Linked DNA regions of Saccharomyces cerevisiae S288C. Changing the gene in region 1 together with any one later gene gives a genetic interaction. Each region holds a gene or a part of one and is shown in the gene's direction. Other genes may lie near its edges.

The links.
Region 2: mutations in PRS5 (region 1) and PKC1 together harm fitness more than expected from each alone (negative genetic interaction), as found in Saccharomyces cerevisiae (2 studies listed by BioGRID).
Region 3: mutations in PRS5 (region 1) and IPK1 together harm fitness more than expected from each alone (negative genetic interaction), as found in Saccharomyces cerevisiae (4 studies listed by BioGRID).
Region 4: mutations in PRS5 (region 1) and VIP1 together harm fitness more than expected from each alone (negative genetic interaction), as found in Saccharomyces cerevisiae (3 studies listed by BioGRID).

The regions. Positions count from the first base shown.
Region 1 is NC_001147.6:206,956-214,501, forward strand, and holds PRS5 (ribose phosphate diphosphokinase subunit PRS5), read left to right. Parts: upstream 1-5,288; coding exon 5,289-6,779; downstream 6,780-7,546. Other genes in the region: MET22 (3'(2'),5'-bisphosphate nucleotidase), read right to left, coding at 1-221; CRT10 (Crt10p), read right to left, coding at 437-3,310; APM4 (Apm4p), read right to left, coding at 3,565-5,040; MAM3 (Mam3p), read right to left, coding at 7,062-7,546.
Region 2 is NC_001134.8:11,677-21,584, reverse strand, and holds PKC1 (protein kinase C), read left to right. Parts: upstream 1-3,888; coding exon 3,889-7,344; downstream 7,345-9,908. Other genes in the region: SEA4 (Sea4p), read left to right, coding at 292-3,408; putative Rab GTPase-binding protein SRO77, read left to right, coding at 7,706-9,908. UniProt on the Saccharomyces cerevisiae protein: Required for cell growth and for the G2->M transition of the cell division cycle. Mediates a protein kinase cascade; it activates BCK1 which itself activates MKK1/MKK2.
Region 3 is NC_001136.10:1,092,241-1,095,496, reverse strand, and holds IPK1 (inositol pentakisphosphate 2-kinase), read left to right. Parts: upstream 1-1,910; coding exon 1,911-2,756; downstream 2,757-3,256. Other genes in the region: OMS1 (putative RNA methyltransferase), read right to left, coding at 319-1,734; RAD34 (Rad34p), read left to right, coding at 2,986-3,256. UniProt on the Saccharomyces cerevisiae protein: Has kinase activity and phosphorylates inositol-1,3,4,5,6-pentakisphosphate (Ins(1,3,4,5,6)P5) to produce 1,2,3,4,5,6-hexakisphosphate (InsP6), also known as phytate.
Region 4 is NC_001144.5:933,912-943,503, forward strand, and holds VIP1 (inositol polyphosphate kinase VIP1), read left to right. Parts: upstream 1-3,629; coding exon 3,630-7,070; downstream 7,071-9,592. Other genes in the region: BLS1 (Bls1p), read right to left, coding at 1-342; rRNA-processing protein UTP21, read right to left, coding at 503-3,322; YLR410W-A (gag protein), read left to right, coding at 7,572-8,888. UniProt on the Saccharomyces cerevisiae protein: Bifunctional inositol kinase that acts in concert with the IP6K kinases to synthesize the diphosphate group-containing inositol pyrophosphates diphosphoinositol pentakisphosphate, PP-InsP5, and bis-diphosphoinositol tetrakisphosphate, (PP)2-InsP4.

The DNA.
Region 1 (7,546 bases):
GATTCTTCACCAACTACCTTATCATCAGGAAAATTGCTCTTGATAGCATTTATGATGATCGTTTGTGCAGCATAATCACCTGTGGTTACTGGAGAATTATCATTCTTGGTAATAGTAGTGGAGTCCTTGTGAGAAATCACTTCAGATTGAATTCTCTTAGTCAATAAAGACGCCTTTCGTACAGCTTGAGTTGCAACCAATAATTCTCTTTCCAATGCCATAGTAAAGTGCTGATGTCTTCTGAGTTGTCTTTAAACTTCTTACTTACTAACTAATAAATTAAAGAGAAGTGCAAACGTTCTTTATATGTGGCATGGTTTCTTCTTTGCAAACTGAAAGTAAAATCGCAACACGTGATATTGCTCGTCTGAGTCATTCGCGCATTTCAATGAAGGAAGGATTATTATATAGATGGCTATGTAAATGTCAAAATATGCTATTGTTGAGTTGTTCCATGCTCAGTTGTGATCTTGAATGCCCTCAAGGAGCCTCTTGATGCTACGTATAAGGTAGCATATCCCTTACGTTTTAACTCTTCACTGTCAGATGCATAAGTGTAATCTAGTCCGCAAATATCACCCATGGGGAAATAGACGTCGCACACGCCGCAGTATGTGTCCGAGCTCTCTCCATCTGCACCATACATTGGTGCGTCAAACAAGTTCCTGTTACATCTGCACTCTGGACTAGGGTTAACAGGGTCTTGGACTTCCCATCCAAGAATATACTCTTGTCTAAACGAATAGATGCCTCTGTACTCTGTTAGTCTTAGTAATGAAATGAGACCCAATTGTGAAGCCACGGCTATGCAATTTAGTTCTTTGATGTGACACACAAAATTTATTCTGTTTAGTGCTTGGAGCAGCGACTTGGAAGCACACGTCACAACACCATCTAAGGGAAAAATCTCATGATGAGTTGCTGATATAATTATGAGTGGATTTGCTTTCATCAACACCAGCCTATGGGCTGTGGTTAGGAAGAAGAACTCGTCGTGCATTTCGGATAGTTGATACCCAAGAGGCGAATCTTCTGAGCCCGGTACTGCTGACTCTAATAACCGCTTGACGTTTCTTACATAGTTGTGGAACCCCCAAGATTTCTGCGATTCTGATTTCAAGTGAGCACGCTGTTCAGTATCCCTATATCTTCGCTGGAAACTTGTTAAGCTGCTACCAGATTCTTCATTTTCAGGGTCGCTATTGACATCGTCCTCTTCTGTAGAGTTCAGTTGAAGGCTACAAATTTCTGGGTCCTTCAAGACCGTGTTCAAATCCTTGCCAAAAAGTGTTCTCCAATCGGCAGCGGCATCGGTGTTGTACCATAAAAAGTTTCCCGATTCAATATTTGGTATATGATTTACTGAACTTAGCGATTTGAACTCTTTTGAAGTTCGTAGTTGTCTTTGTTTATCCATTTTCAAATTACGAATACTTCTATTAAATTCGCGAGATATATCTTCAATATCATTTTCGAGATCAGTAAGTTTATAAGTAGACGGCTCACAGATCTTTCTCCCAGAAGTGTTTTGATATTGCGATGTTTTATTTCTTCCACTAGGAGTTATCAACTGTGGAAAAGTATTAATAATATCCTTGTATTTCGAAAATCCACGCTCAGTAGCACGATAATGTTTATAACCAGAATCCTCCCAAAATGTCCATTGGTGTAAATGCTGTTCACATGAGGTGTTTTTTGTCACTGCATCATTCATATCGTCTAAGTCACCGGCATGTAAAATAAGTGCAAAATCCTCTCTGCTGTACTCGTATTTTATCGAGCCCGTTGTAGTGTAATTTCTATCAAATGAGGTAAATCTTAATGGTATAACTTCATCGGGGATCCCTGCTGAAGAAGTCAGTCGTAGGTCTGTGACAGGAACCTGAAATTGATTGAGTAATGTACCAATACCGAAATTCCCAGAGAGGTAGGCGTTATCACAGTAATACCCAAGTAAAAAATCATCTCGGCAAATAGAATATAACATGCTTTCTTTGAAACCGTCTTGGTAGTTAAGATTCAACAATTCGAAATTGTCAACTTTCGCAAAATCCTTCTTAGTCAGTGGAGTTATTGTCCATAAGTCGTCGCCAAAAAATTGAGTATCAAGGAAACTCGTTAAAATGGTACAATCATGCTCCTTTAATTTAACGGTAACAACATTCCCAAATATAGAACAATAACTTAATGTAATATATCCAACAGAATCTTTTGAATTAGGAACAAAGTTAACACAAGGAACATTGTGAGATGAGGGAAGATCTAGAGGCCGAATGTACCGTCTTTCCTTCTTTACATCTTTATCGAATGCAAAGACTGTAACTCCAGGCTTGTTATGGCCAACAGCGATATATATGATGCCATTTATATCTATTACATCAACACTCCAACAAGATTCCTCTACTCTTAACACCATATATGGATCAACATTTATGTATCTTTCCCGGCTGTTATCTTTGCCTCCCAAGATATCCGAAGTAAATTTATTAAATATCTTAATAACTTTGTTGATTTCCCAGATATAAACGATTCCGTTGTCACCGCAAGCTAGTAGAAAATCTTGATGCATGAAGTTACAAATCTTCATAAAGTTGATAGAACATAGTTCAGGTATGCTGTTGAACTGTGTATCCTTAAATTTCACATATGATGAATTGCGGAAGTTTCTTACATCTCCGTCATCTGGTATTATCACGGGCAATAAGGCGTGACATATTTCTAATGACGAAACGTTCAATAGTATATCGAAATTATGAACTTCGACGCATTGACCGGCAGCCAGGAAGGAATAACTCCCATAAGTGACGAACAAATTGTTCTTGAACTGCAAACCACCATAAGCAAACCTATTTGTGTATTGAAAAGGTGCGAACTCTAGTGGTATCTCTTGAACAAGTAGTTTTTCGTCCTGTGGCAATAGTAATTCAGCTGGATTCAAAAGCCTTGATGGTCCCCAGACGGGTTCTAAGTTGGAAAATGCAGATTTAGTATCCTCCAAGAAGGCTTTCTTGAATGAGTAAGCAGGATTTGGGATTTTCCATGAAGAGTCATGTTCTTCTAGGTTGTGTAATCGTTCTTTAATAAACTCCACGGTTTTTGGATGAAACGAATTGCAACTGGAGTTTGGCCACTTGAGTTGATAATATTTCTTTAACGTTATTATCTCATTCGTTATATTCCAGCCACCAGACGCCAGAAATACTTCTGAGTCAAAGCACTCTCTTGTCGATACTGCCCTTTGTATGATGGCCCGAGACTTAAGCCACCTTGTAAAGAGATCATCATTTTCATTGGGAATCTGAGGGGGCATTATATTCAAAACCAAATTTTCAAGCCTAGAAGTACCAGTGCCTCTTGATTGCGCTGTTGATCTTCATTACTATGGTGTTTTTGGTGTCTTGTATGGTTTTTCCATGTTTTTTCCCTGTTTTCTTTTCAATGAAAAACTAAATTGCATGTCTCTCATAATAGAAAATATTCAATATTAACAAAATGTGCATTCTAAAGGAAATTACTATAAAAAATACAGGCATGATAAAAATATATGTACACAAAAATTACGGGCTAGTACCTCACCTCGTAAGAACCGGCTTTCGATATATATTTAATCCATTTTACAGCACGATGCTTACTGTCTTTTCCAGAAATGGTAAAGTATCGTACGACTAAGCCAGAATTACTGAACATCATGACCTCGAATTCCAGGGATATTGGAGGTCTTGTCCATTGTTGAAGATTCAATTGAGTAGTATCACTTGTGGACACAGTAACTGCACTTAAAGTGTTTTCCGTCAACCCATTGTACTTGTTGAACCTCCAAATCATTGCATTTTCTTCTGGCACAAACTTACAGTGGCCATTAGAGACACTTATCTTACAATCCACAGTGCTTGGTGGAACGGGTATATGTAGTACCACATCTTTGGCGGAAAGTTTTCCAGGAAATAAAGACTTCAATGTTATCCTGTAATCAATCTCGTTATCTCTTGTAGAATGTGTAACAATAGGTGTAACCTTGAACGGCAGGTTTATGTTATCTCGTACATGATATTTCATCAACTCCATCGAACCGTCTGGTGGGACGAATTCAATGATATGATTTCTGTTAAATTTGTCAAGTGAGACACATTCGTGAAACTTGCAATCTTCCAACAAAACACTACCGGCAGCAGCTTTGGGAATGAAGTTCTTGTTTCCAAAATCGCTGCCAGAGTGACGCTGCTGCTGTGCTAACCATTTCTTCTCGTCTTCGGACTGCATTCCCAAAGAATCATTCAATCCAAATCTACAAATAGGGGTCCCACTCAAGTGTGTGGTGATATCTATGGTGCCATCAACGTATGATTTCAAGATAGAACCATCCCTAGATACCAGAATGTTTATCCTCTCATTGACATACAAGAAAACTTCATCCTTCTTGTGTATTATCCCCTTGGGCCTCCAAGTGATCTTATTGTTATCATAGAAATCAGAAGTGGAGTCTCCTTGACCCAGGAAACTACTGCTTCTTTTTGTCAAAAATTTGGGAAAATGTAGTTCTCCTGCTGAAGAAGTAGGAGATGAAGAGGAAGATAATACATCATTTCCATCGGGACTATCTAACAATCCGCCCATATTTCTAACGGGTTTCACAGACATCTGCGCTATAACAGAGTTCAATTCAGTGTCAATTGGTATCCCATTTCCACCCAACATTATATCCAGCATCTCATGCACAATCATGAATTCCTCTTTCAAGGCCTCCTCTCTATCCAATCGATAAGCATTCATCACTGCATCAAGCTTATATAAGAACTCCCAGATCGCCGCACTATTAGCGTTGCTTCTCGTAATGGTTACCAACCACAAATTGTCACCATGCCTCGACCTGATGTGATGGAAAGTAGTTGAGCCCAGTGTCAAAACAGGCGATCTAACATCTAGATTATTGATCACTTGTACTCGGAAGATATCGGATATGGACCGCTTCAACGAGTTCTTGAAGAACTTGTTCAAGACAAGTTCACCTCTCGATGAGTATACCAGCACACCACTAATCATTGCTCACCATAACTCTATGTGATTCTTTTCTCCAACCGTTTATGAAAGGTTTCCACACTTTATCATCAAGTTCTCCTATACTAATCAATTAAGGAAAATATGGCTGTTACCCTTCGACCGCAGTTGAAAAAAATTTTCTATCAAATAATAAATGGCTACGATTAGCGAGAAGGGCTGGATGAGATGAGAGTAAGTTGGTCGAAAGTGACTTTGTTGGAGGTTGCTACGAGGCTAGGAACGCAGTCTGGATGTCAATGAGTAATATTGTTGTTTTTGGAGGGGACTCGCACCCCGAGTTAGTTACTAAGATCTGTGAAAATTTGGACATTCACCCATCGAAAGTAGAATTAGGGAAGTTTTCTAATGGGGAAACGAACATTGCTCTTCGCGAATCTGTTCGTGAAAAGGATGTATATATCATCCAGAGTGGTTGTGGCCAGGTGAACGACACGTTCATGCAGTTGCTGATTTTAATCAGTGCCTGCAAGTCCGCTTCTGCCTCGAGGGTTACAGCCGTAATGCCATATCTCTGCTACTCGAGACAGCCAGATATTCCATATACTGCCAAGGGTGCTCCCATAATTTCCAAGCCTAAAGAAAACTATACTTTTGAATCGCATCCAGGCACACCCGTGTCATCTTCTTTAATGACGCAAAGACCAGGTGCTGAGAGCTCGTTGAAGAGTTTGGATAGTGCAATACGATCAACTATCAACTTAGAAAATCCTCAACCTATCAGAACACCAAACAGCAGTGCTACGGCGAATAACAATTTCGACATCAAGAAGACGCTTTCTTTTTCAAGAATTCCTATGATTCCCGGTGGTAAGTTACAAAATACAAGCAATAGCACGGACGCTGGTGAATTGTTCAACGCTCAAAATGCAGGCTATAAGCTATGGGTAGTACAAGCCGGTACTTTGATTGCTCATTTGTTGAGTGCTGCAGGTGCTGACCATGTGATCACAATGGATTTGCACGATCCACAGTTCCCTGGGTTTTTTGACATTCCAGTGGATAATCTCTACTGTAAACCCATTGCACAAAACTACATCCAGCATCGCATTCCAGATTATCAGGATGCTGTGATCGTTTCTCCAGATGCTGGTGGTGCAAAGAGAGCTACGGCTATTGCAGACGCCTTGGAATTGTCCTTCGCCCTAATTCATAAAGAAAGAAGATCTCAGTTATTGAAGGGCCCTCCAGATGCGACGTTAACCTCTGGTGGTTCGTTACCAGTATCTCCAAGGCCATTAGTTACTACTTTGGTTTCCTCCCAAAATACTACTTCTTCAGGTGCCACTGGGGTTGCGGCCCTTGAAATGAAGAAAACAACTTCAACATCTTCCACCTCGTCGCAATCTTCTAATTCGTCCAAGTTCGTTCAAACTACCATGCTTGTTGGCGATGTTAGAAACAAGGTGTGTATTATAGTCGACGACTTGGTGGATACTTCATACACTATTACAAGAGCTGCGAAATTGTTGAAGGATCAAGGATCTACCAAAGTTTATGCCTTAATAACGCACGGTGTTTTTTCCGGTGATGCGCTAGAAAGAATCGGCCAAAGTAGTATAGATAAGTTGATCATTTCTAACACGGTTCCTCAAGATAGAACACTACAGTACCTAGGTAAGGACAGAGTGGATGTTATTGATGTCTCCTGCATAATCGGTGAAGCAATTAGAAGAATCCATAACGGTGAATCCATTTCTATGTTGTTCGAGCATGGATGGTAGTGGCATTGATGTGTTCATTTTTTTATTGATAAAAATAGGGGAAAGTGTCTATATATTTTGCGTATAAAATTCTCTACATTTTTTTTTCTTTGTTTAGTATGTGTATTGAAACATTTTATTTATAGGTTAGAGAAACAAAAAAAAAAAAACTGCAATTTCTTCTTGTATGTCTGTAGAAAAAATTTTAAGCTGCTCTCCCCTGTGATTTCATGCGTCTGGGACTAATAAGAACGGTGATGATGGTTATTATGATGCATGGGCAATTCTTTTGGCATAATCTCTTCATCTTTTTATGGTCGACGAGGAGCCGTTGGCATCATAATTGGAAGTTCTTGACAAAGAGTCGGTGAAATTAGAACGATCATTGTTGTTAGCGTTTTCGTTCTTAAATTTATTCTTAATACTGGAAAATAAACTTGCATTTGAACTTGAACTTTCTCTATCGTCACTTCGATTAGAATTCTCTTGATTGATATTCTCGTTTCCATATTCACTTTTGGATTCGTCCCAATCTTTTGCGGGGCCAATGATGGTTTTTGGAACACCTTTGACTGTGATGACAGATTCCACAATACCATTCTTCGTATTTTGGTAAGAGGTTGAGATTGTAACGTTTTGATTTTCGTTGCCGTGATTCGCGCCAGAATTTGGAATTGATATACTATCAGGGCTATTTCTCGTGGTTTTAGTCGAGGTAGTAACTTGAGTTGGTTGACCCGACCGTTGAGTATGGAGAACAGCTTGGCGAGATAGCTCTGCATGATCAC
Region 2 (9,908 bases), on another chromosome or scaffold:
ATTTGGCGTCGCAAGAATGTAGATCACTTGTATCAATGGAAAGCTTACTTGGGTAACTCATTTATTGAGAAAATCAATGGATGTCGAATTTATATAGAGTAGAGCCAACACTTCATGATTGGAAAGCATATACCAAACGGTATACCACTGATAATATGAATGCAGAAGACTAATGCGCTACACATCATACTTTACGGCGATGATATATTTCAAGATAGCATAAGCTCTATGGTTATTCTGATGTTACTGGTAGTCGTAAGTGCAGTATCACGAACGTATAGAAGAATAAACATGGGTCTCATCAAAAAAGTGACCCATTGGTCATATGATAATTTGATTGATTATCTTTCAGTGAACCCTACAAGAGATGAAGTGACCCACTATAAAGTGGATCCGGAAAATGAATCTGATGAATCAATTATTAAATTACACACTGTGAAAGACTTCGGCAGTATCACCTGCTTAGACTATTCAGAATCAGAAATTGGTATGATTGGAGTTGGTGAAAAGAATGGATATTTAAGGATTTTTAATATCTCTGGACAAAATTCCTCATCGCCAGCGAGCCATGCGCCAGTGGGCTTAAATGCCAATAACGAGACTTCTATGACAAATGCCAGCGGTGGTAAGGCAGCTCAGGCGGAAAATATAGTTGGATCTGTCTCAAATTTAAAGGATACCCAAGGGTACCCTGTTTCAGAAACCAATTATGATATACGTGTACGAGCAAAGAAGCAGCGGTGTATAAACTCTCTGGGAATAAATACGAATGGTCTTATAGCAATGGGTCTTGACAGAAATAAGCATGATTCATCTTTACAAATTTGGGACATGAATTATCATGATGATTCGCATGAAACTATCAACCCAATGTTTAGTTATTGCACAAATGAAAGCATAGTATCCCTAAAGTTCCTCAACGATACCAGTGTATTGGCTGCAAGTACGAAATTTTTGAAAGAAATTGACGTCAGATCCCCCAACCCAATTTATCAACATCCGACACGATTGACGTATGATATCAAACTGAACCCGTTTAACGATTGGCAATTTAGTACTTATGGGGATGATGGGACCTTAGCTATTTGGGATAGGAGAAAATTATCTGACCAAGCTTCACTTGGTGATTTAAATGTAGCTTCCCCTTTATTAACTTTTGAAAAATTGGTTGGATCCGGTGCAGCGTCAAGGAAATACATGAACTCTTGCTTTAGGTGGTCATGTGTGAGGAACAATGAATTTGCCACCTTACATAGAGGTGATACCATCAAAAGATGGAGGTTAGGCTATTACTGCGATAGCAATCGTGATATTGCGGCAGATGACGATAACGAGATGAATATTGAGAATTTGTTTGTTTCTTCCGTGCATGACACAAATACGATGTACGATAGAGTTGCTACATTTGATTATATTCCAAGAAGTAATAATGGAACAAGTCTAATCTGTATGAGACAATCGGGAACAATATACAGAATGCCAATTTCAGAGGTATGCTCCAAGGCTATACTCAATAATAGGAACTCTCTCTTATTGTCAAATTTTGAAAATACTGAGATAGATGAAATTAGAGTCAACAATGAGCATGAAAAGTCCAACTTAGAGAATGTAAAAACAATCCTAAAGAATCTATCGTTTGAGGATTTAGATGTTAGCGAAGATTACTTTCCGTCTGGACATGATGAACCTAATAATGAAATTGAGTACTCCGAGTTGAGTGAAGAGGAAAATGAAGGGAGTAATGATGTCCTTGACAGTAAGCGTGGATTTGAACTGTTCTGGAAGCCAGAAAAACTTCTGGAAAAAGATATAAGTGTAATAATGAGGACGCGAGCTTCATTGGGATATGGTTTGGATCCAATGAACACGGTAGAGATGATTGATTCTTCTAAAAATCTACAAAACAATGCTTATATAAGGAACACATGGAGGTGGATCGCGATTGCAAAGGCTTCTGTTGACGATGGTACGATGGTTTCTGGTGATCTTGACTTAGGTTACGAAGGTGTGATAGGTATTTGGAATGGTATAAACGGAATATCGAACCAAGACAGATATAGACAAGAGACAATTCTTTCTGATAAACAACTAAATAAAGAAATGGAAAAAATCATCAAACTAAGAAGGAAAAATAGGGATCGGAACAGTCCTATTGCCAATGCCGCTGGTTCACCAAAGTACGTTCAGAGAAGACTCTGTTTAATTATCTCAGGATGGGACCTTTCCAGATCTGATTATGAAGACAAGTACAACATAATTATGAAAAACGGCCATTATGAAAAAGCTGCCGCTTGGGCGGTATTTTTTGGTGATATCCCAAAGGCTGTAGAAATATTGGGATCTGCAAAAAAGGAAAGATTGAGACTAATTGCCACCGCTATTGCAGGTTACTTGGCGTATAAGGATCTGCCAGGTAACAATGCATGGAGGCAGCAATGCAGAAAAATGTCCTCCGAATTAGATGATCCTTACTTGAGAGTTATTTTCGCCTTTATCGCAGACAATGATTGGTGGGATATTCTTTATGAACCTGCCATATCTTTGAGAGAACGATTAGGGGTAGCTCTAAGGTTTTTGAATGATACAGACCTAACCACTTTCTTAGATAGAACTTCATCTACAGTTATTGAAAACGGCGAATTAGAAGGTTTAATTCTCACCGGAATAACACCTAATGGTATCGATCTACTGCAATCATACGTTAATAAAACCAGCGATGTTCAGAGTGCCGCACTGATATCAATTTTCGGCTCCCCTAGATATTTCCGCGACCAACGAGTAGATGAATGGATACAAACTTATAGAGATATGCTTAAATCGTGGGAATTATTCTCCATGCGAGCCAGGTTCGATGTTTTAAGATCAAAATTATCGAGAACTAAAACTGGTGTATTAACTGCAGACATAAAGCCCCGGCAAATATATATCCAATGTCAAAACTGTAAACAAAACATCAACACTCCGCGCACATCCTCACCTTCTAGCGCCGTCTCTACTAGTGCTGGAAATTACAAAAATGGTGAAGCCTATAGAAGAAATAACGCTGACTACAAGAAATTTAATACTGGAAGTTCTGAAGCACAAGCAGCTGATGAAAAGCCAAGACATAAGTATTGTTGCCCACACTGTGGGTCTTCATTTCCAAGATGTGCCATATGTCTCATGCCTCTAGGAACGTCAAACTTACCTTTTGTAATAAATGGGACGCAATCACGCGATCCAATGCAGACAGAAGACTCTCAAGATGGTGCAAATCGCGAACTCGTAAGTAGAAAACTGAAGTTGAACGAGTGGTTCAGCTTCTGTTTGAGTTGCAACCATGGTATGCATGCCGGTCACGCTGAAGAATGGTTTGACAGACATAATGTTTGTCCCACTCCAGGTTGCACCTGCCAGTGTAATAAGTAGTATTGTACAATAAACCAAATCTTGCAACTTCTCTTTATTCTCACAATATATATACATAACCAAAGAAAAAACGTAATTAGTATAACATTGTATTTATGAGGCATTGCTATCTTCATTACCCAGCCCGCCTAGTTTTAAAGGCGAAAAAAACCGACGAAAAGAGTTAACAAGCGTGGATAATAAAGTTGATCTACTCTATCGAAAGTAATACGACAGGTTCAGGAGCAGTAAAAGAGCTACGATTTCACTGCTATTCAATTTGGCTGAGTAGAGACTGATTATTAACCATTGTAAAAGTCTCTGCCACCACTCGTCCACACTTACGTTAGAGGTATTCAGCGTCGATCCCCTTTCAGTATAGATTTTTAAAACTATATTAGATAATCAATAGGAATAAAACCTAGAACAGTAGCTGCGGAGAGAAGCTCTAGCGAGGAAAAGTAAGTATAGTATCACACATATAGGGAGCAGTTTACAGTCATGAGTTTTTCACAATTGGAGCAGAACATTAAAAAAAAGATAGCCGTCGAAGAAAATATTATTCGGGGAGCTTCTGCCCTCAAGAAAAAGACTAGCAATGTTATGGTCATTCAGAAATGTAATACGAATATTAGAGAGGCACGTCAAAATCTTGAGTACTTGGAGGATAGCTTAAAAAAATTACGGTTGAAGACCGCTCAACAAAGTCAGGGTGAAAATGGCAGCGAAGATAATGAGCGATGCAATTCGAAGGAATACGGGTTTCTTTCTACCAAATCGCCAAATGAACACATATTTTCTCGTTTGGATTTAGTAAAATATGATTGCCCTTCTTTGGCGCAAAGAATCCAATACATGTTGCAACAATTAGAATTCAAATTACAGGTGGAAAAGCAATACCAAGAAGCCAATACTAAATTGACTAAATTGTATCAAATTGACGGTGATCAACGTAGTAGTTCTGCGGCAGAAGGGGGTGCTATGGAATCCAAATACAGGATTCAAATGCTTAACAAAGCTTTGAAGAAATACCAAGCTATTAACGTTGACTTTGATCAATTTAAACACCAACCCAATGACATAATGGATAATCAACAACCGAAATTCCGAAGAAAACAACTGACTGGCGTTCTAACAATTGGAATAACTGCTGCTAGAGATGTTGACCATATACAATCACCGATGTTTGCCAGGAAGCCAGAGAGCTACGTTACTATAAAAATCGATGATACGATCAAAGCCAGAACGAAGCCTTCTAGAAATGACAGGTGGAGTGAAGATTTTCAAATTCCAGTTGAAAAAGGGAATGAAATCGAGATTACTGTATATGATAAGGTGAACGACTCGCTCATTCCAGTGGCTATAATGTGGTTACTGCTTTCCGATATCGCTGAAGAAATTCGTAAGAAGAAAGCCGGACAAACAAATGAACAACAAGGATGGGTCAACGCTTCAAACATTAATGGTGGTTCTTCTCTCGCTAGCGAAGAGGGAAGCACATTGACTTCTACATACTCAAACTCAGCCATTCAGTCTACTTCAGCAAAGAATGTGCAAGGCGAAAATACATCAACTAGTCAAATCAGTACGAATTCATGGTTTGTCTTAGAACCATCCGGGCAGATTTTGTTAACACTAGGATTCCACAAGTCTTCTCAAATAGAAAGGAAGCAGTTGATGGGTGGACTACATCGTCATGGTGCTATTATCAATAGGAAAGAAGAGATATTCGAACAGCATGGCCACCACTTTGTACAAAAATCATTTTACAACATTATGTGCTGTGCATATTGTGGTGATTTCCTTCGGTATACTGGGTTCCAATGTCAAGATTGTAAATTTTTATGTCACAAAAAATGTTACACCAATGTTGTTACTAAGTGTATTGCTAAAACTTCTACTGATACGGATCCGGACGAGGCAAAGTTGAACCACCGTATTCCTCATAGATTCCTGCCTACTTCAAACCGTGGTACTAAATGGTGCTGTCACTGTGGTTATATTTTACCATGGGGTAGACATAAAGTACGCAAATGTTCTGAATGTGGTATAATGTGTCATGCTCAATGTGCTCATTTGGTTCCCGATTTCTGTGGCATGTCGATGGAAATGGCTAATAAAATTCTGAAAACGATTCAAGACACAAAACGTAATCAAGAGAAAAAGAAGAGGACAGTTCCGTCGGCACAGTTGGGGTCATCTATTGGTACTGCCAATGGTAGTGATCTTTCCCCATCCAAATTAGCTGAAAGGGCAAACGCTCCTTTGCCTCCTCAGCCAAGAAAACATGATAAAACTCCTTCGCCTCAGAAGGTAGGAAGAGATTCTCCAACTAAGCAGCATGATCCTATTATTGATAAAAGAATTTCACTACAAACGCACGGGCGTGAGAAACTAAATAAATTTATCGATGAAAATGAGGCCTATTTAAATTTTACAGAAGGTGCACAACAAACCGCCGAATTTTCATCACCAGAGAAAACACTGGATCCAACGTCGAATAGACGTTCCTTGGGACTCACTGATTTATCTATTGAGCATAGTCAAACTTGGGAATCTAAAGATGATTTAATGAGAGATGAACTTGAACTGTGGAAAGCACAACGTGAGGAAATGGAACTTGAAATAAAACAAGATAGTGGGGAAATCCAAGAGGATCTAGAAGTTGATCACATTGATTTAGAGACCAAACAGAAACTAGACTGGGAGAACAAAAATGATTTCCGTGAAGCTGATTTGACAATAGATTCCACACACACAAATCCATTCCGCGATATGAATAGTGAAACCTTTCAAATTGAACAAGACCATGCTTCAAAGGAAGTACTACAAGAAACAGTGTCCTTGGCTCCTACAAGTACTCATGCCTCCAGAACCACTGATCAACAATCTCCGCAGAAATCACAAACCAGCACAAGCGCAAAGCATAAAAAGAGAGCGGCTAAACGTCGTAAGGTTTCATTAGATAATTTCGTATTACTCAAAGTTCTTGGTAAAGGTAATTTTGGTAAAGTTATTTTATCTAAATCAAAGAATACTGACAGGCTTTGTGCCATAAAAGTTCTGAAGAAAGATAATATTATTCAAAATCATGACATCGAGAGTGCAAGAGCAGAAAAGAAAGTATTTTTGTTAGCCACAAAAACTAAACACCCATTCTTAACCAATCTATACTGCTCTTTTCAAACTGAAAACCGTATATATTTTGCTATGGAGTTTATTGGGGGCGGTGACTTAATGTGGCATGTTCAAAACCAAAGACTATCTGTAAGAAGGGCCAAATTTTATGCCGCCGAGGTCTTACTGGCTCTGAAATATTTTCATGATAATGGTGTAATATACCGTGATTTGAAGTTGGAAAACATTCTATTAACTCCAGAAGGTCATATAAAAATTGCCGATTATGGTTTGTGTAAAGATGAAATGTGGTATGGTAATAGAACTTCTACATTTTGTGGCACACCAGAATTTATGGCTCCAGAAATTTTAAAAGAGCAAGAATATACCAAAGCTGTCGATTGGTGGGCATTTGGGGTGCTGCTATATCAAATGCTACTGTGCCAATCTCCATTCTCAGGAGATGACGAAGATGAAGTTTTTAACGCTATCCTTACCGATGAACCCTTATACCCAATAGATATGGCAGGTGAGATTGTACAAATATTCCAAGGCCTATTAACAAAAGATCCTGAAAAGAGGTTGGGTGCTGGTCCCAGGGACGCAGACGAAGTTATGGAAGAACCTTTCTTCCGTAACATCAACTTTGACGATATCTTAAACCTTCGCGTGAAACCACCCTACATCCCAGAAATTAAATCTCCGGAAGATACATCATATTTCGAGCAAGAATTCACCTCTGCGCCACCCACACTTACACCTCTGCCCTCTGTTTTGACAACGAGCCAGCAAGAAGAGTTTAGAGGATTTTCCTTTATGCCAGATGATTTGGATTTATGAAGAAAAGGTCATGCCATGATTTATTTAATTTTATATAAAACATCTAAGCGGAAAAGTTGAACTGTTCCGCTTCATAGGAGGAGAGGGTTTTTTTAATGAGATTTTGTTACATAAACTGAAACTATCCATTTTGATGCAATGCCTCTTTTTTGTTCGTACCTATCTTGGAGCATGCATATGAAAAACCTCGTTTAAGCGATGCGATGCGAAGCCGTATGTTCAACAATGCGCATTCTGTTTACATTATTAAGGAAGCATTTAAGAAACAGCTCAGTATTATATTACTACTAACATATTTCTAAAGTTGACAGATTATAAAAGTTACAAAATTGTCAATTGAACAGATACAAAAATTTTATAAATGTTTAAGAAAAGCAGGCATTTGAAGAATGTGTCAAATGCTATCAAATCCGCGAGAGTTCATGACGTCTCAAATGGTATTAACTCCAAATTTTTCGATACTAAGAAAATATGCACATACGGCATAAATGGACGAATCACTGTTACCACATTCGACTATACTCAAAGCCTTTTGGCAGTTGCAACTACTGCTGGGGAGATACATGTTTATGGGCAAAAGCAAATAGAGGTCGTATTTACGTTAAAAAATCGACCTCAAATTAAACACATGCGGTTTATTAAAGGAATTTATCTGATAGCTGTAGATGAGAAGAGCAACATAATAGTTCTTTCAGTACACTCGAAACAGATTCTAACTACTGTTTTCTGTCCAAACAGCATCACTTGTATTGAGACTGATCCGTCCTTGGATTGGATGCTGATTGGCCTCGAGAGTGGATCCATATTGATCTATGATGTGGATAGAAATCAAATGTCCAAATTGAAAATTGAAAACTTCCAGAAAAGTGTGTTTTTGCCAAAAGAGAGGCTATCACCGGTTATTTCTATCCAATGGAATCCTAGAGACATAGGAACGATACTTATATCATATGAGCATATTACAGTCATATATTCTTTCATTGACTACAAAGTCAAGCAACATTTTTTTTACCAATTAGAACCGTATGCTCCGGGCGGTGATCTATCCACAAACATAGAAAAGAAACGCACTCCAAAGGTCATTCAGTCACTTTATCACCCAAATTCCTTACATATATTAACTGTCCATGAAGATAATTCCTTGGTATTTTGGGATGTCAATAGCGGTAAACTGATTCACGCTAGAAGTATATTTGAAACACATGTGAATTTTCCAAATCCTGCCTTGAAAGACTGTTCCTTTACAGAAACACCCGCTATCTTTAAAGTAAGCTGGCTTTGCCAGCGTAATCCTGAGTATACATCGTTGTTGATTGCAACAAAAGCTACAGAAAATCCCTGTTTACCTCAGGAAATAACCATGATTGACTTAGGCGGCACACCAATGTATTCTGTGACATCATTTGACGCAATGAGCAAGTACTATGCTAAACCGGTTCAACAAAAACTATTTTCGTTGATTGGCAAAGCTCCACTAATAAATTTTCTACCCTTGCCGAAGGCTTCTCCATATTTTGGTGGATGCCATGACACAAACCTCATTTTATTACTTTTAGAAGATGGCGAACTTGAAACATTGATATACCCAGCAGGCTCTTTTAGTTCCAAGGCCTCCATTTTCCCTCGGAGCTTAGCATGGGTTCGACCAACGGTTACTACTTGTATAGCGCAATCAGTTCAAAAAAATCTTTGGCTGGGGATGATGACAATCGCTCAAAGTGAATCGTTTTTAAAAGGTGGTATTCCTGCCACCAGAAATATTAGAAGGCATGAGACCAGATCTGCTTTACTAACTGGGCATAGTAATGGTTCAGTCAGAATATGGGATGCTTCACACAGTGAAGTAACTGACAACGCTGTATTTGAAGTGAATACTGCTAAAGTACTTAACAGAGCTACTAACCTGGCCATAAAAAATATCTCCTTTGCATCGGAAACATTGGAATTGGCGGTATCATCTGAGGTTGGGGATGTTATTCTTTTCAAATTCGAAACAAACAAGTTTTACGGACAACTTCCCAAAAGCGATGCACTGCAATTGAAGTTTAGCAGATTTTCATTGGATGATTCAAAAACTATTTTAGTTGATGTTTCGGATAGAGGGCCTACGAACGTTAAACAAGGCTTTATACCAAGTACGGTAATACATGCTAAAAAAGGTGCGGTGTCCGCAATCATGAATAGTAATATCGGGTTCGTTGCCGTTGGTTTCATTGAAGGAACCTTAATAATATTGGACAGAAGAGGCCCGGCTATAATCTTCAATGAAAATATTAGGGTCATTTCTAAAGCTGGTAGCTCTTACGTTTCAACCGTTCACTTTTGCGTCATGGAATATGGAGATGATGGGTTCTCTAGTATTTTGATGCTATGTGGAACGGATATCGGGGAATTGATGACTTTCAAAATACTGCCTGCAACTAATGGAAGATTTGAGGTTAAATTCACTGATGCAACAAAGACCAACAATCAAGGAAAAATTCTAGGAATAAATTCTTTTGCCAAAGATACTGGCTACAGTTGTTCTGCTACTATATCAAAGATGCAGGGTTTAAGCAAGGGTA
Region 3 (3,256 bases), on another chromosome or scaffold:
AAGACAGACCACCCATGAAGTTCCGTCTTATGTTAGCGGACTTAGCTCAGTTGGGAGAGCGCCAGACTGAAGAAAAAACTTTGGTCAAGATATCTGGAGGTCCTGTGTTCGATCCACAGAGTTCGCATTTTTATTTTTTCCCAGTGACGCAATTTTTGGATTGTTAATAATAGCGTCGTTACGTCACATATGGTCAGTATGATCACTTTAGAAGTAAGGAGAACTACCTAAGGGGTTTTAGATCACATTTTAACTTGCTTACTGAAATATTTACACGATTCTAAGCCTGTATAAAATTCATTGGTATGAATAAATATGTTAACTTTTACTTACAGGAGGTACTGGCTCAAGTTCTTTTTTAGATGCCATATCGTCTTTTTTTTCGAATGATTCCATTCTCTTTCTAATACTTGATTGCAAGTATTTTTCTACAAACCCAAGCTCGTCTTTCTTTTTCACATCACCTTTTCTCTTTGCAACGATACACCAAGTAGTGCCTAAGTGAGTCCGTTTTTCTTCCACCAATTCTAGGTCAGAATCATCTAACACTTCGCCTAAGTCGAGATTCCATCGACAGCCCCAAGTATTCAGTCTTCTTTCAGCTCTGTTGTCTAATATCTTATTTATAAAATCGTATTGACCTCTACCATGTTCCAGTAAAATAATTCTTCCATCTGGCTTTAATAACTTGCCAAAATTATTAAGTGCCTTAACCGGATCTTCATGGGAACACAAACCAAACGCCTCCACGATAGTATCATATTTTACTTGGTTTTCCTTTTCATTCTCTAGAGAGGGCTTACCTTTCTCTGCTAAGTCTACTAGATTTTCCGCCTTTCCAACAACAAATGCAACTTTTTTATACTTAGGAAACTTTTCTCGGAATTTTTTATGTGTAATTTCCATCATATTTTCAGAAGAGTCTAAGAATGTTATAGAGTTGATGCGTGACATATCAAGGTACTTGATATTTCTTCCTGTACCGCATGAAACTTCCAAAACATCCCCTTGACAATGTTTCATTAACCATTTCCTTCTTTTACCGAGAAATATTACTCTCTCTTCCATATTAATTGCCTTATCATATTCGTTAGCTTTTTCTTGGTAAAAGTTTGTTGTGTCTCTTGCTGGCAATATTTGTTCATTCAATTTGTTTTGATCAAAATTCTGTACCCGAATATCATCGAAGTTTTCAATGCCTTCTTCTTGCATTTTTTTGTATTCTTCTAATTTCAATTCATCTCTCCTCCTTAGTTTTCCTTTCAATTCTTTAATCCTTAATGCTTCGTATTCATTGGCATTCCCTTCTTCTTGTTTCTTCAACAATCTTTCCAGTTCTTTGTCTTTCGCAAACAGTTTTTTGGTAAAGAAGAGACCATAGATTAAAAATATCACATAAGCACCGATCATGTACTTGGTCATTCCCTTTGAAAACTTTTCTGATCTCGCAATAGCTCCCCACCTCACAAATCTATTAGGTGACCTCAGTTGTTCTTCGAACCTCTCTTTGGCCAATTCTTCTTTTGTTTTTTGCTTACGAATGACTCTATTGCTATTCATTTGGAAAACATTTTTAAGCTTTTTTTTACTTTTATCATCATCAATGTGGCTGCTGTTATATTTATAAGATGTAAAAGATAATGATCGCCTTTGTGATTCCAACAAAAGACTCCTGGATGCCGGTTGTCGAATGTGATGTAAAAGGCACGTAGGAAAGCGACGAAATACGATCATCCTCACTTACTTATGGTTTTCTTGTTCGTTCCTCAGTGGTTTATTTATCGAAGATATTTTCACAAGGTACTTTTTTGATGCGGTCCCATTTAGGGTTTCCAAAATTAATTCGAACCGTGATATGCTACCAGTCGAAAATTGTCAGAGATAAGTTCCTTTTTTGAAAAGAAAGATCGATGCAAGTCATCGGACGTGGTGGGGCAAATATACTGATTGATTATGGGGATCCTACGTGGTTGTGGCGATGCTGCATCCGTTGGCCCGATCTGTTATCATCAAATAATTCTTATACAATCAAAAACATCAGTTATATTAAAGATTATGTAGAACCTCTTCTACATGGCTTGCTTTGCCCGATGTATCTGATTGACGTCGATATAGAAGCTATAAGGCCAATTCTCAGTGACTTTATTCTAAATTTAGACGATAAGGTAGTCAAAGTTATCAAAATTAAAAATCTCACCAATAATACCTCAAATCTGATATTAAATAACCACTTTTTAAAATCTTATTGTTCACAAAATCTGCAAACAGTTATTTTAGAATTGAAGCCTAAATGGTTATACTATGATACAGATTACTGTAGGAACTGTACTCATAATGCATTTAAGGGTAGAGGCACTAAGTACTGTTACAATCAATTACTAATGAATCCAGCACACTTGGAATTAATATTTGGAGAATGTAATATATTTCCGGTTAAGTTTAAAGATGCCATGCATGAGTACTTGCGCAATGACAATAACATTTTCAAGATCCTTTATGATTTACAGAAAAAACTTACAAAGAACACAACTCCAATAAGTGACATAAAATCAATCAACGATGTAAACGATGAGCATCTGCTACTCATGACACTCAGAGACGTGACATGTTTCATTGAATGGAACAGTGCTGAAAATGCGTTGCACGTGAATATAATAGATGTAGATCTAAAGCCAAAAGAAAAATGGACCCATTGGACAAAAACTTACAGCCAGTTGACATCAAGCCAAAAAATTTATCATACTTCAAATAAATAAACTGTATACTTTTCTTTCCACCTTTGGTACTGGCAGATGCACATACATTACCATTTGTAAAATATATGGATAGATAAGTATTTTTTTTTTCTAGTGGCCCTCTGGAAAATGTAAATAATAAAACGGAAAACACACAAGCCAGGGTGAATGACCAAATTCGATATTCAACGAAGGGTCAAACCTTGAAACCTAGCATACATGAGTTTAAGGAATAGTGAGAAGAAAAGTAATGGCCAAGAGACTGTTAGAATCAAGCCAAAATGATCAGGCCAATCGAAAAAACTCAAAGATTGAGAAGAAAGAAGTATCGTTTTATGAGGAGGAAGAAACAGATGATTCTTTTGATAGTTTTTACCAGGATGAAGAAGATGATTTAAGTGATATTGATTGGGAAGAAGTTTCTTTAGATGGAAGCTTAACTGTCACATTTGGCAATATACGCAGAGACAGGGAGAAAGTCAGCAAGTACAAAAGAAAGCATAATAAAAAAGCATTCAATT
Region 4 (9,592 bases), on another chromosome or scaffold:
CAGTTGGTACGTCATTTCAAGGATTCGGAGATCCCTATCCACAAGCTCTGCTTCCTTTTGTAATGCTTCGGTATGCCCCATATACGGAGTGTACTTTTCCAACATATAGTTAATAGGAGAAACACACTTATTTTTAAATGAGTCGTCATGAAGTCGCAATAACTTCTTCAACTGTACATTTAAAATATATGATTGATTATTTTCAATTTCTTGCAAAGTCTTCGAGGCTTCTGTTCTATGCGGAGAGTTGATTATTTTGTCGAGTAATCGGTCAAGTTCTTCAGACCTGTTTGGCATTTTTACGATTATCCAGTTCACACACATTGAGAATGTAAGGAACATTTATTTATTGTCGATCATTTATTAAATGTGGGAGGGACCCTTTAAGAACACTGCAACAAACCCAATAAATAATTCTTGGTTACCCTCTCAAAAAACATCATAGGAAAAAGAAAAATATACAATCTGCCTTTGTTACTAATATACTTGTTCTATATAATGCTCACGCGGTGGTCACAAAAGCTGCCACTCCCATGCAAAACTTCACAAGATCATCTAATCTGTCTTCCTTCTTATGTACATCCTCCCAATTTTGAAGAGCAGAGGCAATATCTTGATTCTTGTTGTTAGCATGAATAACATCACCGTGTGCCTTAAACAGTAAGCTCATAAACGTTTCATAAAGTTCGAAATTTTTATTGCTCTTCAACCCCTGTGTTAACGCGTCGATAAACCACACAATTTCATCAAATGGCTCAAAGGAATTCAATGATCTTATCTCCAAATCCACTGCAGCAGGTGAGAAATTTATTAGAGTGGCCAGCAATGATGAATAGTCCTTGGATTGTGAGCCCTCTCGTAATTGCTTTGTGAAATGTGATTCAAACCCTAATCTTCCTGTAACTTTGAATTTATTCATTTGCTCTTCTGCATCTAACTTCTTTTGTGCTTCTTGATCTCTGCGATGGATTTCTTCTGGTGTTTCATGTGCTATGCCTTCTCTGACAGAGGCTTCATCCCCAACCTTTTCCCCAGATAGTTGCAAGAAAAATGGAAGCTTTTCTGATTTCTTTGGAGCTTCCTTTGGCTTAGAACGTTTTCTGATAACATCTAAATGAAGCAATGTGTTCATTTTACTTCTAGGTCCTATTGATAAAGTCAACAGCTCCTTATCAATCTGTTCCAATGATGTATAAGTGTTGAAATCAATATCATTTAGGTCTTCTCCTCCATTGCTTTCTAAAGCCCCTGATAACATCGAGTCGTTCCCTCGAACAGATGTGCTAGGTAACGCCATTCTTGCAAATTCAGACTCATCGATGGTTCTTGTCGATACTGTCTTAAATTGTGCTCTGTTCGTCCAGATGCATATACCATTACCAGTAACATGGGTAGTGGCAAGCAAGTCACCATTCGGAGAAAACTTTACATTCGTAGCGACATTATCTACTATGATACCATCGATACATCCTCCGGTTGGAAGATCCCACGTTCTAATGGTGGAATCTAGAGAAGCGGAAACAATCCAACGGCCCTCAGGTGAGAAATCAAATGCAGTTATTCTATTACTATGACCCCATAATTGACGAACAACTCTTTGAGTAACTGCGTCAATAACAACAATTGATAAGTCGTCTAAAGCCAATGCAAATAGATCGGAAGAACGATGATAAACCATTGCGGTAATAGGTGCATCCAATTTCAATTTTCCCAACAAGGTTGACTTGTTAAAGTCATAAAAACCAACAATACCGTCTAGTCCACAAGAAACCATTTTACGATTCATACCATCTAAGGATATACCGGTGACTGCTCTTTTGTGCAATTTGTATTTTTTACGGAGTATACCACTTTGCATATTATAGATGGTGATAGAGCCGTTAGAAGAACCGATGAATCCAAAATTACCACATTGCGACATGGCCACAGATTTAACAAATCCATCATCAGTAGTATCAAAAGTCCACCTGCCAACTCTTTTATTTCGCATATCCCAGGTTCTTGCAAACTTTTCATCTTTATGTGCAGTGATAATGTTTTCCCATTCACCTATTCTGGCATTTTCAATTGCAAGAGCCACTATTTCAGGAAATTTAGACTTAATTGTACTACCACCTACCCTGCCGCCATCTTGTTTCTTGTGTAACCTTTGTGACATTTCTTGCGACTGTGCATCTTTACGCAGAGAAAAGCTCCATAATGATCTATCTTTGGATGCTGATAGCATGAAGTGTGATTGCGAATCAGCAAACGCAATGTATGAAGGTGGTTGAGAATGACCCCCTCTGGAACGTAGATATCTTGGCGGTTGAACAACTACATCACCGCTTCCTTGAGATAATGACGGATCGAAAACGTACTCCTTCAGGGAATTGTCACCACCTGATGTAACAATAATGGGTTGACCATTTAAAAAAGTAGCCTGAGTGACACCACCGTACGATTCTCTATGAATGTTCTTCAAAACGTGTATTCTTGAACGGCGATCTAAATCATAAAATATTAGATCACCACTGCTCGTTCCCACACTCAAATGAGAAGAACCGTCGGTTCTGAAACTCAATGAGGAGATTCTTGATTGCGGAATCTTAATTGTGCGGATCCTTTTACCTTTTCTCATATTAAACATAATAACCTCACCGGTCACGGTACCTAGAGCAATAATATCCAGGACTGGAGCGGGTTCAGCAGTTGTGATTTGGTCTGGAAATTCGTTTGATGTGAATACAAGCTTCCCGGTTCTGACGTTAAAAAGTAAAACGTTAGATTTGGTAACGACAGTTAATTTATTCAAATAAGTTGCCAAATGTTGTAAAGACACAATTTCGCCACCTTGAATTTCAGTAACGGTAAGTTTAGTGTAGAATTCTGATGGATATTTATCTTGCGGATCGGACTTCTTGTATATAAAGATGGAATTGTCGTCGGTGGAAGCGCAAAGATAATCTCCGAATATGCACAAATGTTCGACATTTGCATCAGTTTCTAGCTCAAGCAAATGTTCCTCAATACCCCTCTTGTAAATACCAACCTTGTTTTCATATGCTGCGTAGACGTAGTGAAAGTGTGCTGATAATGCTACAATTGAGGATGGTGTTTCTTTCTCGGAAACAAAAAGTAAATGTAAGGTATTCGCATCATATATCTGAAATGTTTTACCAACACACGTTACAATGTAAAAGGTAGATCCCAATGTACCAGTAGCAAAAGGAACACCATTGCTAACATTACCAATAATCCGGAAAGGGGAAAATATCTTAGAATTTTTCCCTCTACTTCTTACGTCTTCTTCGACTTTTCTTTTTTTCAAGTCGATAGACATAATGTACTATTCCTAACTCGCTATAGCCTTTTCAGTGTCTTATTCCTTGCTGCTGTTTCGCTGTATATTTATTGTGCTTAGGACTTATTAAATTTCATTAGCAATCTCATCGCGAAATTTTTCTCAAAATTTTTCAGTTAAAAAAAAAAAAGCACGTGCTCAAAAATGTTTTTAGAAAATCATTTATTTAAGATAGGAAAAATGCAATTAATCATTGAATCAATATGTTCACCACTTAAATTACCCACTGAGCATTTCATACAAATTCAAAAGCATCTCGTAGCATATTAATATATTGCAGAAGGTCATGAGTGGGATAAAGAAGGAACCGATTGAATCTGATGAGGTTCCTCAACAAGAGACAAAAAATAACTTACCTAGTGCACCTTCTGAGATGTCACCCCTTTTCCTAAACAAAAACACACAGAAGGCTATGCAATCTATTGCACCAATATTGGAGGGTTTCAGTCCTAAGACGTCAGCTAGCGAAAATATGTCTTTGAAATTGCCACCTCCCGGTATTCAAGATGATCACAGTGAAGAGAATCTCACCGTGCATGATACTCTGCAAAGAACCATAAGCACTGCACTAGGAAACGGAAACAACACCAATACAGTTACAACTTCCGGTTTAAAAAAGGCAGACAGTGAATCAAAGTCAGAAGCTGATCCTGAGGGGCTCAGCAATTCTAACATAGTCAATGATGCAGATAACATAAATTCCATCTCCAAGACCGGATCGCCCCATTTACCTCAAGGAACAATGGACGCTGAGCAGACTAACATGGGAACTAACTCTGTACCTACTTCATCAGCTTCTTCACGCAAATCCTCGACTAGTCATCCCAAACCTAGGCTACCCAAGGTAGGGAAGATTGGGGTATGTGCAATGGATGCAAAAGTCCTTTCAAAGCCAATGAGACACATTTTGAATCGTTTAATTGAACATGGTGAATTTGAAACTGTCATTTTTGGAGATAAGGTGATTCTAGATGAAAGAATAGAGAATTGGCCAACTTGCGACTTTTTGATATCTTTCTTTTCTTCAGGATTTCCCCTAGATAAAGCAATTAAATACGTCAAGTTACGCAAGCCTTTCATTATCAATGATTTAATAATGCAAAAGATTTTGTGGGACAGGAGATTATGTCTACAAGTATTAGAAGCCTACAACGTTCCAACACCTCCTAGACTGGAAATCAGTAGAGATGGTGGTCCCCGTGCCAACGAAGAATTAAGGGCAAAATTACGTGAGCATGGCGTAGAAGTTAAACCCGTTGAAGAACCGGAATGGAAAATGGTTGATGATGATACTTTAGAAGTTGATGGGAAAACCATGACTAAGCCCTTTGTTGAAAAGCCCGTTGATGGTGAAGACCACAACATTTATATATACTATCATTCTAAGAACGGAGGAGGCGGTCGTCGTCTATTCCGTAAAGTTGGTAACAAGTCTTCTGAGTTTGATCCTACTTTGGTTCATCCTCGTACGGAGGGGTCTTACATTTATGAGCAGTTTATGGATACCGATAATTTCGAAGATGTGAAGGCTTATACGATTGGTGAGAACTTTTGTCACGCTGAAACTAGGAAATCACCTGTGGTTGATGGTATAGTTAGAAGAAATACTCATGGTAAAGAAGTTAGATATATTACTGAGTTATCAGACGAAGAGAAAACCATTGCTGGGAAAGTTTCCAAAGCTTTTTCACAAATGATCTGTGGTTTCGATTTGCTTCGCGTTTCTGGTAAAAGTTACGTCATTGATGTTAACGGATTTTCTTTTGTAAAGGATAACAAAGCTTACTATGATTCATGCGCCAATATATTGAGAAGTACCTTCATTGAAGCCAAAAAGAAGATGGATATGGAAAAGAAGAATCTGCCCATTATTCGTGAAGAAAAGGAACAAAAGTGGGTATTCAAAGGACTGGCTATCATTATCCGTCACGCGGACAGAACACCAAAACAGAAATTCAAACATTCATTCACTTCGCCTATTTTTATATCGTTACTAAAAGGTCACAAAGAAGAAGTTGTCATTCGGAATGTAAATGATTTAAAGATTGTTCTTCAGGCCTTAAGAATTGCGTTAGATGAAAAAGCAGGAAATCCAGCTAAAATTAAAGTGTTAGCAAACGCTCTAGAAAAGAAACTGAATTTTCCCGGTACGAAAATACAATTGAAACCGGTTTTAAATAAAGAGAACGAAGTGGAAAAAGTTCAGTTTATTTTGAAATGGGGTGGTGAACCCACTCATTCTGCCAAATATCAGGCTACGGAACTCGGAGAGCAAATGAGACAAGATTTTGACCTATTGAATAAGAGCATTCTACAAAACATCAAGATATTTTCATCGTCTGAGAGACGTGTTCTTCATACGGCGCAGTACTGGACCAGAGCTCTTTTTGGGGCCGATGAATTAGGTAGCGATGAAATCAGTATTAGAAAGGATCTTTTAGATGACAGTAATGCCGCCAAAGATTTAATGGATAAGGTGAAAAAGAAGTTGAAGCCACTTTTAAGAGAGGGTAAGGAAGCTCCCCCACAATTTGCCTGGCCTTCAAAGATGCCGGAGCCATATTTAGTCATAAAGCGAGTGGTTGAATTGATGAATTACCATAAAAAAATTATGGATAACAACTTTGCTAAAAAGGATGTCAACTCGATGCAAACAAGATGGTGTACTTCTGAAGATCCTAGTTTGTTTAAGGAAAGGTGGGATAAACTTTTCAAAGAATTCAATAATGCTGAAAAAGTCGATCCTTCTAAAATTTCTGAATTGTATGATACTATGAAGTATGATGCTCTTCACAACAGGCAGTTCCTAGAGAACATATTTGACCCGGGTCTTCCAAATGAAGCTATCGCCGATGAACTCGGCAGTCATTCTTTAGTTGACCGATACCCAATTAACGTTCTCGCCAAAAATAATTTTAAGATAATAGACAGTCATAGCATGAACAATTCTGGAAAGAACAGTAGTAATAGTGTTGGGTCGTTAGGATGGGTTCTGGAAAGCGGAAAAACATCTACAGCAAGAAACCCCAAATCTTCTTCTCAATTCGATGAGCCACGCTTTATGCAGTTGCGGGAGCTGTATAAGCTGGCCAAAGTATTGTTTGATTTTATCTGCCCCAAAGAATATGGTATTTCAGATGCAGAGAAACTGGATATCGGTTTGTTAACTTCGTTGCCTTTGGCAAAGCAAATACTAAATGATATAGGAGACATGAAAAATAGAGAAACTCCAGCTTGTGTTGCGTACTTCACCAAAGAGTCCCATATTTACACTCTATTGAATATCATATACGAATCTGGTATTCCAATGAGAATCGCTAGAAATGCTTTACCAGAACTAGACTACTTGTCGCAGATCACTTTTGAACTTTATGAGAGTACGGATGCTTCTGGTCAAAAATCGCATTCCATTAGACTAAAAATGTCTCCTGGGTGTCATACTCAAGATCCGTTAGATGTTCAATTAGATGACAGGCATTATATTAGTTGTATTCCAAAGATTTCCCTGACGAAGCATTTGGATATGGACTATGTTCAACAGAAATTGAGAAACAAATTTACCAGGGTCATTATGCCTCCGAAATTTACACCAGTAAACATTACGAGCCCCAACTTGAGTTTCCAGAAACGCAAAACCAGAAGAAAGTCGGTATCTGTTGAGAAGTTGAAACGTCCTGCCTCGTCCGGATCTTCATCATCTACCTCCGTTAACAAGACATTAGATTAGTGATCACACCCAATTTTTAATTTAGTAACCCAAAACTAAATAAGTATTTACTCAACTTTTTTTTAAAAAAAAAAAACTTAATTGAATTTTGCTCGCGATCTTTAGGTCCGGAGTTTTCGTTGAACCCTTAGACGAGCAAATTAGCGCCATAAGGATATGCGTCAGAGCACATTAATTAGTGACATATACCTATATAAAGAGCAACCTTCTTGTTGGAATAAAAATCAACTATCATCTACTAACTAGTATTTACGTTACTAGTATATTATCATATACGGTGTTAGAAGATGACGCAAATGATGAGAAATAGTCATCTAAATTAGTGGAAGCTGAAACGCAAGGATTGATAATGTAATAGGATCAATGAATATTAACATATAAAATGATGATAATAATATTTATAGAATTGTGTAGAATTGCAGATTCCCTTTTATGGATTCCTAAATCCTCGAGGAGAACTTCTAGTATATCTACATACCTAATATTATTGCCTTATTAAAAATGGAATCCCAACAATTACATCAAAATCCACATTCTCTTCATGGTAGCGCCTATGCTTCGGTTACTTCTAAGGAAGTCCCATCAAATCAAGATCCGTTAGCCGTTTCAGCTTCCAATTTACCGGAATTTGATAGAGATTCCACTAAGGTTAATTCTCAACAAGAGACAACACCTGGGACATCAGCTGTTCCAGAGAACCATCATCATGTCTCTCCTCAACCTGCTTCAGTACCACCTCCACAGAATGGACAGTACCAACAGCACGGCATGATGACCCCAAACAAAGCTATGGCCTCTAACTGGGCACATTACCAACAACCATCTATGATGACGTGTTCACATTATCAAACGTCACCTGCGTATTATCAACCGGACCCACACTATCCGTTGCCACAGTATATCCCACCACTGAGTACTTCCTCACCTGATCCAATCGATTTAAAAAATCAACACTCTGAAATACCTCAAGCTAAGACAAAGGTGGGAAATAACGTCTTACCACCACACACTTTAACATCAGAAGAAAACTTTTCTACATGGGTTAAATTTTACATCAGATTTTTGAAGAACTCTAATCTCGGTGACATCATTCCAAATGACCAGGGTGAAATCAAAAGACAAATGACTTATGAAGAACATGCGTATATATACAATACCTTCCAAGCATTTGCCCCATTTCATTTATTGCCAACATGGGTAAAACAAATTTTAGAAATTAATTATGCTGACATCCTTACAGTCCTTTGTAAAAGTGTGTCCAAAATGCAAACTAACAATCAAGAATTAAAGGATTGGATAGCTCTTGCCAACCTTGAGTACGACGGAAGTACATCTGCTGATACATTTGAAATTACAGTCAGTACGATCATTCAGAGGCTAAAAGAAAACAATATCAATGTTAGCGACAGATTGGCCTGTCAACTAATACTTAAAGGTCTATCCGGTGACTTCAAATACCTACGTAATCAATATCGTACCAAAACGAACATGAAACTTTCCCAATTATTCGCTGAAATTCAATTAATATATGACGAAAATAAAATCATGAATCTAAATAAACCGTCCCAATACAAACAACACAGCGAATACAAAAATGTTTCTCGCACATCTCCAAACACGACTAACACAAAGGTTACAACTCGTAATTATCATAGAACAAATAGTTCAAAACCAAGAGCAGCAAAAGCTCACAATATTGCTACATCTAGTAAATTCTCAAGGGTGAACAATGATCACATTAATGAATCAACCGTTTCATCACAATACTTAAGCGATGACAACGAACTTAGTCTTAGGCCAGCAACAGAAAGAATCTAAGCCAACACACACAATAGACTCGAATGACGAACTACCTGATCACCTTCTTATTGATTCAGGAGCTTCGCAAACGCTTGTCAGATCAGCCCATTATTTACACCATGCAACACCCAATTCTGAAATAAACATAGTCGATGCTCAAAAACAAGACATTCCTATAAATGCCATTGGTAATCTTCACTTCAACTTTCAGAACGGCACCAAAACATCAATAAAAGCACTACACACACCAAACATAGCCTATGATCTATTAAGTTTGAGTGAGCTGGCTAACCAAAATATTACTGCCTGCTTTACCAGAAACACTTTAGAAAGATCGGATGGTACAGTACTAGCTCCCATAGTCAAACATGGAGACTTTTACTGGTTATCTAAAAAATACCTAATTCCTTCGCACATTTCAAAGCTAACAATAAACAACGTCAACAAAAGCAAAAGCGTAAATAAATATCCATATCCGTTAATACATCGAATGCTTGGACATGCTAACTTCCGAAGTATTCAGAAGTCTCTTAAGAAGAATGCAGTTACATATTTGAAGGAATCGGATATTGAATGGTCTAACGCTAGCACATATCAATGTCCTGACTGTCTAATCGGCAAAAGCACGAAACATAGACATGTCAAAGGATCACGACTAAAGTACCAAGAATCATATGAGCCTTTTCAGTACTTGCATACCGATATATTTGGTCCTGTACATC